Linked DNA regions of Ovis aries. The protein of the gene in region 2 interacts with the protein of the main gene of each other region in a pairwise test. Links are inferred from orthologs where the notes say so. Each region holds a gene or a part of one and is shown on either strand. Other genes may lie near its edges. The genes, in order: NUB1 and SNCAIP.

Region 1 (4,606 bases), on a different chromosome or scaffold from region 2:
GCGGATCCTTTACCACTGAGCCACCAGGGAAGCCTGTTCTATTTCTTAACTGCTATCACTCTCTAAGAGGAAAGATAAAATAAGAAAGATAGATCCTTAAAGCAGCAAACTTAAACAACTCAACACAGTGGCTCTGTGGTAAAGAATTTACCAAAATACAGTGGCTCTGTATGTTGGCTATTTTAACACAAAAGAGCAATCACCCTGGCAGGTAAATATAAAGAAGAGCTAGCTTGAACCATGAACTATCAATAATATACATTTTCTATATCTGAAATTTTAAAATTGAAAATTTAGGGATTTTTCTGGTGGTCCAGAGTTATGACTCTGTGCTTCCAATGCAGGGGGGCTGGGTTCCATCCCTGGTCAGGGAACCAGAGCCCACATGCCACACAAAGTCTCTGGATGCCACAACTAAGGCCTGGGCCCACCAAAATAAACAAATATTTTTAAAAATAAGAGAATTAAGCTAAAACTTTAGTGTTTACAGTGCTAGAGAAGTTTTGCATGATATTTTCTGATAGAAGCATAAAAGCAGATCTACTCATCCTATTCAAATCAATACTGGCCGGGTCATCATCTTACACACGAAAAGCCACAGCCCAAGTCTGTAAAAGGACTCACTCAAGGATGAAAGATTAGGCAGCGCCATAACTAGTCCTGGGACTTGTGCCCGCAACACTGGATCACTGCGTTCTACCGCCTCTGCGAAGTCCCTGCTGCTTCTCTGTCCTGCGCTCACACAGCAGTGGAGTCTTTCACGCCTCCTTCACTAGCACTAGCATCTCAAAGGTGGGTGAGGCTGCCAGAGAGTGAAACAGCTGATGGGGCAGTGCACCCAAGTCAGATGAGCAGTGACCAAAATCAAAGGTTAGTAGCCCCTGAAGGATGGAGACATGTTCCAGAGAGTGAAAAAGTAGGTAAGACTTAACATAACCTAGATGAGCAACTTTTTCCTATTCAGGGCCTGTATTCCACACTCCTCAAATTCAATTCACCTGATTTCTAAATCAAGTTTGACAACTTTAGTGTATTCTGTAAGCAAGTACTTTAAAAAGAAAGTTCAAATCCACTTTATATCAATTTGGGGGCAAGAAAGAGGGTAATCAGGATAGGGGGGAGAAGGGAAAAAGGGGAAAACAGATCAAAGAGGGGGATGTATGCATCCAGGTAACCTAAGAAAGAACCCCAGTTTTTCAAGCACTAATAAACTGCTTCTCACACATAAAATTGGACTGTAGTCTGCCAGGCCCCTCTGTCCATGTAATTTTCCAGGCAGGAATTCTGGAATGGGTTGCCATTTCCTCCTCCAAGGGATGTTTCTGACCCAGGGATCAAACCCACATCTCCTGCGTCTCCTGCACCGGGAGGCGGATTCTTTACCACAGAGCCACAGGGGAAGCCCCGCTCACAAATGTTCAGAAATTCCCAATTAAGTATCACTTGTGAGGGGGTGGTAACCATTTCAAGGGCCATTCAGGGAAGCCAAGCCATTTTAGAAGGCTGAATGCACAGCCCTCTGTAATCCAAGTAACTACCAAGCGGAAGTCTCAAAGGATTTCCTAAACCTAGTGTGTGGCCCACACTCCTGCTGCTGCTGCTGCTGCTGCTAAGTCGCTTCAGTCGTGTCCGACTCTGTGCGACTCCATAGACCGCAGCCCACCAGGCTCCCCCGTCCCTAGGATTCTCCAGGCGAGAATACTGGAGTGGGTTGCCATTTCCTTCTCCAATGCAGGAAAGTGAAAAGTGAAAGTTATGTTGTTCAGTCGTGTCTGACTCCTAGTGACCCCATGGACTGCAGCCTACCAGGCTTCTCCATCCATGGGATTTTCCAGGCAAGAGTACTGGAGTGGGGTGCCATTGCCTTCTCCTCGTCCACACTCCGCCCACCAGCAAATACACAGCAAGGAGGGTCTCCAGTCCACCACTTAATGTTTGAAAAAAAGATTAAACCATTGTCTTAAAACTTACAAAACCACTCATGGGCAACAACAACAACAAAAAAAACGAGGATATGTATTTTAACTCAAATCAAAAGGGAAACGGTTTAATAAGTCAGTTTTCAACGTTAATTGGAAAACTGAAAGTTTCAGGCTTGCTACACAATGTTCCGTGTCACAGTCCCCGTCAAAAAGCAGAAATTCATTAATACCCATGCTGTAAACCGAAAGTGAAAGGGTATAAATCATTCCTGTAACATTTCGCTTTCATTTTTTAAATAAATCGATCTACGCTGCCTTTATCCAGAGGTTTTCAAACATATACAAACACACATATACTTATTCAAAATACAGTACTTTTCCCTCTTACACTATTACAAGAATCTTCTATTAAAAAATGAGAGTGTGGGAAGACGTTGAGAAACATACAGAATCTGATCGTCAGGGCTGGAGAAAATAAACCGCGTTTTCTCATTAAACAGGAAAAGAAAATCTGTCTTTGATTGCAAATAAATCCCAAATGGCGTAACAATGTTACGATTCAAGCTTTTTGTATGGCCAGTGAGTAATTTTAACATATACATATGTTTCTCTGCCTCCCTCCAAAAACATTTCAATCTCTCGTTTTAAATACCCACCACCCGCGTCAGCCCAGAGCAAACCCAGGGCCGGGCGAAGGGCCCGGTGCGTCCAGAAGCCCCGACCCGCCGCCCCCGGTCCCGGCCGAGTCTCCGCGCAGGGCGCCCACCTCCGCCGCTGCCCGGGCGGGGTCGGCGTCGGGGTCACGCCTGGGGGGAACTAGGGCGCCGGGCGGCGCGGCTGACACCCGGGTCAAGGACCGGACGCTCGGCCGCCATCTCCTCACCTGCGCCACAGCTGCGCCAGCCGCGACCCGCCGAGTGCCCGGATGCGGCTGCGGCCGCCGTTTATTTTCATTCCGGGTGAGGCCGGCCCCGCCCCCGCCGCCGAGGCCGCCGCCGCCGCCGGGCCGCCCCGCCCCGTCCCCGCGAGGCCGAGAAGCAGGGGTATGGGCGGGGCTAAGAGGGGGCCGGGCGGGGTTGTGGGTAGGCTGTGGGCGGGGCTAAGGCGGGAGAGCTGGACACGGATGGGGCGCAGCTGGGGTGAGAGGCGGGGCGAGGGGGGGCGAGGCGGAAGGGCGGGGCAAGGGTGGGCGGGGCTGGGCAAGGGGCGGGGCTAGAGCCTGGGGCGATCGGATGTGGGCGGGGCAGAGAGGAGAGCGAGAAGGAGCCTGGGCGTTGACCGCCCGGGGGACTTTCCGGGGGTCGGGGGCGGGGCTGGCGGGAAGACTCAGCCCGCAACCCTGGGGACCGCCCGTGAGGACCAAGGCGGTGTTGGGCGGGGCCGCTGTCCCGGCCAAGTTTACCTGACTTCTGAGGAAATTGAGCTTGGCTTCATTCCTTCAGAATCCTCGAAAGAGGCCAGAGCACCTTGGAGCAAGCCCCTTCTCCCCCCACGGCGGGAAAGTCTGGACTTAGTGCAGCTGGGTCCGCCCCCGCCCCCCAACCCCCATCCCACCCCCGGACTGGGTCTAACATGATGACCCCTCTAAAAGTCCAGCTTTTCATCCCTCCGTGCATCACTCGGCCCAGGCCTCCGCTTTGGTGAACTTCCCGGCCCCTTGCCCTCGTACTTCTCTGCTGGTTTTGCTGGCCCTGCTGACCCTGTCTCCACATGCTATTGCTGACAGGACCTCTGGCAATCGGCCTGCTCCCGAAGCGCTTTGCCCACCCCTGTACTCAGTCATCTAAGCCCCTGGCCTGACGCCTGTGTCCTGTGTCTAGGGGAGGACATAAGACAGGCTTGTCTGGAACTAATGGAGCTCAAAGCCCGCTGGTTGAGCACAGGTCATAGCATAGCTTCCAGAGATGGTTAGATCCGCCTTCGGTAGGACCGAATCGAAGAATGGGAAGGCAAGATAGAGCCCATGGCAGAGCCCAGAAACTTCTCGCTCGGATGAGACTGTTGGTTCTTCCATTCCAAACCCAAGGCCCCAGCTCGCTTGGGCAGCACATTAACCAAATCCAAGGCCCATCCTGGGACCTTCTCTAGCACTGTCCTGGGCCCTGCACGTGGCAACTGGCTTCAGCCCTGGGGATCTAGGCAAGCTGCCCAGCCTCCACCTCACCTGGGAAGATAATATCAGTACCCCACCCTCCCGTTTGCCCCTGCACAAACATTCCCTGAAACAAAGTGTTGTGTCTAGAATTACTCCAGGAGCTGCAGACTGTCTGAAAGGGGCTTTGCAAACTCTCTGACACACTCCACAAGGAGAGGGAAGCATGACCCCTCCTCCTGGTGCCCTTCTGCCCCTGGGGGAAGAAGCCTTGGGTGGGATGTGTGCCTAAGTCCATTTTAGGGGAGAGAAATGTGTGCAAGGAGATCAAACCAGTCCATCCTAGAGGAAATCAGTCCTGAATATTCATTGGAAGGACTGATGCTGAAGCTGAAGTTCCAATACTTTGGCCACCTGATGGGAAGAGAGCCAACTCATTGGAAAAGACCCTGATGCTGGCAGGAGGAGAAAAGGGCAACAGAGGATAAAATGGTTGGGTGGCATCACCCACTCCATGGACGTGAGTTTGAGCAAACTTCAGGAGTTGATGATGGACAGGGAAGCCTGGCATGCTGCAGTCCATGGGGTCACA
Region 2 (3,810 bases):
ACACCATTTTGTGTTCTTTCTCCTGTGAAAAGCCCTCACTTGAGAAAAGCGTCCTCTGTCCAGGACCAGCAGAAGCTCTCCCCTGAAGAATCAGAGAGTTCTCCTCCTCCCGTTAAATGTGGCTCTGCTTATGAGCCTGAAAACCAGGGTAAGGACGTCCTACACAAGACCTTCAGTGATCCTCACAGTCGGAAAGTTGACAAGGCGATGGCACCAGACTGCCAGCTCAGGGCCTTCCATCTGCAGTCCTCGGCAACAGACCCCAAACTTGAGGAGCAGATCGGTGGCATGAACTGGACCAGCTCCCAGGGGCCCGAAGAAAGGAGCGAGCACCTGAAAAAAGTAAAAAGCGTCTTGAACATTGTTAGAGAAGGGCAGATATCTCTCCTGGTGAGTATGAACTAATTCATTACACACACTAACCATCTAGATCTCCAGCTTTATCAACTCCGTTCACCAGTAACAGAATGATAATGCTTTTGTTCCAATTTTTGTTTAATCTCTGCTCACGGCTTTAGTTGGGCAATGTGACTTTGGAGTTTTAAAATTAAAAGTTAGGTGGTTAATGTAAGGAAAAACAAATGGCTATAGAGGGAGTATTATTTCACTTGAACTGTGCATGAATTCAACTGTAATAAAGACATGTACTCTAAAGGAAAAGCAAAACCAAAAAAAGCCCAGCACTTTAAAAAATACGAATCTTAATGTCTTTCCTTTTGCTTTTCAAATGGTTCCCAATGCTCTCGCTGAGTTATTTGTGGGGATGTCAGTTCCTTGCTGATGGGGAACTGCCAGGTATATGAACAGAGGGTCTTCTGTTTTATCCTGATCATTATTCAGAAGACTTGGACCAGGACGTTTGAAAGCATTTGCAGATAGAGACTTACCCTAGAGCTTGATTGCCCTCTGACCCACACGGAGTTTTTATTTAGTTCCAGGTCTGCATGTCTAGGGAGCATAAAGAAGCTTTTCCAGAGACTCTAGACACAGAGTAACATGATGTAAGAAAAGTCTGTTCTGCTTAGGCTCAGAGAAAACTAAACTGAAATCACATTCCATCTGCCTACATTGTTCTTTCCTGGCTTCCAGACATGGATCAAACAGTAGTAAGCCTGAGCTGACACTGTGGTGTTAATTAAAGTCTCATTCAAGGAAAATCATCACATCTTGGCCATGTGATTCTACTCATGGTAAAGCTGTGCATAGATAAATGTAATGCACTTGGTCTATTACCACAAATTTTAGAGTTATAATAGGATGATATCATTGAACAATTTTACTAAGTAAAGTAATTTTTTTTTTTTTTTTTGTCTCTTGAAAATGTCTTTTCCATTTCTCCTGGCTCTTCCTCTCTGGTTCATTCCTTTCTTTTATCTTTCCCATGTTTTTATGTTTCCCAAATGATAATAACTCTCAATTTACCCAACAGTCTTTATCGATGAGTCATGCTCAGGGCAATGAACTTCACTAGAGGTGAAGAAACCAGAGTCCAGAGATGCCCAGGAGTTTGTTTAGGGGTGAAAGTGCCTTGAGGTACCCAGGGGAGTACAGACTACAGCACCCATCATGAGGCTTGCTGTCAGAACCAGCTCTCTAAAGCTCAAGGCAAAGCAGATGGTTAAGATAGGTAGTTCATTCATTCAGCAAACCTACCGCAGGGAATAAAGCAGAGTCTGGCCCTCAGAACACATAGCAGGAGTGGAGGAGACAGACAAGAAACCTGCTGGTTGCCATGGGTTGTTAGAAAGCTGGCTTGGAGCCTCTACAGACCCGTTGACTCATCTTTGTTGCCTGTCTCCCATGAAAGTAAGTCACTTGAGCATTCCTGTGCTTTCATAGCAAGGAATTCTGACTTATTACAACCCCATGACTGTCACCAGGGCTTCTGGAAGTTCATCTCTTCTTCCCAAGGCCCGGAGCAAAACCCCCACAGCTTCTCATTCTGTTTTATTGACTTAAGTTTTCCTCGTCTTACTATGTGTACAGCCACACCTAGCTGCCGACAATCTAGACAAAATTCACGACGAAAGTGGAAACAATCTCTTACACGTTGCCGCATCGCAGGGGCACGCAGAGTGCCTGCAGCACCTCACTTCTTTGATGGGAGAAGACTGCCTCAACGAGCGAAATGTGGAGAAGTTGACTCCAGCAGGCCTGGCCATCAAGGTGACTGGTAGTTGGGGGCTGGGCCCTCCACATGTTCCTGCCTTGTAAGATTTCTAGTAAACTTAAATGTTAGAGTGGAAAGAGAGAAGAGTGATGTTCCAAGCAAACAGCAAACGAACCTATTGTTTTTAAAAGGTTAACCATCTCAGTCACTAACTGCTTTGAGATTTTGAGACTATATTCCAATTTAGGGTAAGCATCAAAACAGCTAATAAAGAGAAAGGAAAATGATCTGTTGCCATTTTAAGAACTTTTGTTATTCATGGTGACTGCAGTTTGGATTCTTAACCACCTCTGGATCTATGTGAGGCTGTTTCATTTTTTTTCCTAATGTGAGTATAAATGAGCACGATGAATGGGGAATAAGTGTATGGTAAGGCATGCTAGCCCAGCACTCAGGAGGATTTCAGAGAATAAAGTGGACCTCTAATGGATTACATCTGAAGTTGAAGCGTCTGCAGTATCAGGAGTTCTTTAGAATATCGGTGCCGAGTTTGAGTTTGGCTCTCGCAGAGCACAATATGTTATCTGTCAAAAACTAGGCAAATTAATGCCGACTGGGATAGAGTTAAAACCTAGAAACAGTGATACAGGAAAATGTTGTCTTTTATAGCACTGTAGTGAGTGCCTCTGTAAAATGTAACACATCACTAGAAGGTTAGCTATTAAACTAAAATTACTTTTAAGATCTTTGGCAAATAAATGTGGAATTCAGTCACATTTATTAAGAAGCCAGAAGTGAAGTTTGGGGAAATATAATACATCTTGTGCTTCTGCATTTGTACTTTGCTTTGCTTAATAGTTATGGCTTCTAAAAGCTGAATAATCATAATTTTTACAAATAGAATTATATTGAAATATACTAGGGGAACTTGCTGGTTAAAGTCTCTTTGTGAATTCACTAAGGAACATGTTATATTTGAAAAGCAATTTCCTTCCCTTGTATACCTCTTACGCAAATCTAAATTTTTGTATCTTCAATTTATTTATCATTCAGCAAAGTTTTACATTGTTAAAAAGTTGCTTTCTATTGTGTTTAATGTTACTCAGTGATTAGGTTTTTTGCTCATATAAGAAATCCATGACCCCAGTGGATAGATATCATTTTTCCTTAGTTGTCAATGATGCTATGTCAAATAAGAGCTGAACTGCCATCAAGAAAAAAGAAAAAACAAATGTGAGTGAAAATTCAGTATAGTGAAGTTAAACAGTATTTTTGAGTCCACCAGACATTGTTTTAAGATGCTGGCAAAACGAATGTGAATGAGACATAGTCTCTTTTCTTAAGGAACTGATAGCCTGGTGGATAAGGCAGGTAAGTTACCAGTGCAGGACGGTGAATTCAGGATCTAGTCCCATGTCAGAATCCTGTGGGAAGGCAAGAATTGGGTTTGGTAATCAGTGGGACTGTCAGTCATGACTAAAATATTCTTTCAGTGCCAGTGATTGCTGACATCTACCTTGTCATTTTAGTATTTATAAAATACAGTGCTCATTAGTTTTCCTCACTAGTGGTGGGTTTTGAATATATGTTAACTACATAATTGTAGTTAAGTCTTCCCTAGTGGCTCAGACAGTAAAGAGTCTGCCTGCAGTGTGGTAGACCTGGATTCAACCCCTGGGTCAGGAAGATCCCCTGGAGAA

Evidence for each region.
Region 1: the proteins of SNCAIP (region 2) and NUB1 interact in a two-hybrid assay, tested with the Homo sapiens proteins (2 studies listed by BioGRID). The link is inferred for Ovis aries from reciprocal best matches to the Homo sapiens genes SNCAIP and NUB1.

The regions. Positions count from the first base shown.
Region 1 is NC_056057.1:115,512,905-115,517,510, reverse strand, and holds the start of NUB1 (NEDD8 ultimate buster 1), read right to left. Parts: upstream 2,842-4,606; 5' UTR 2,689-2,841; exon of another isoform or gene 625-2,688; intron 1-624. UniProt on the Homo sapiens protein: Specific down-regulator of the NEDD8 conjugation system. Recruits NEDD8, UBD, and their conjugates to the proteasome for degradation. Isoform 1 promotes the degradation of NEDD8 more efficiently than isoform 2.
Region 2 is NC_056058.1:29,124,064-29,127,873, reverse strand, and holds part of SNCAIP (synphilin-1), read left to right. Parts: coding exon 1-390; intron 391-1,986; coding exon 1,987-2,166; intron 2,167-3,810. UniProt on the Homo sapiens protein: Isoform 2 inhibits the ubiquitin ligase activity of SIAH1 and inhibits proteasomal degradation of target proteins. Isoform 2 inhibits autoubiquitination and proteasomal degradation of SIAH1, and thereby increases cellular levels of SIAH.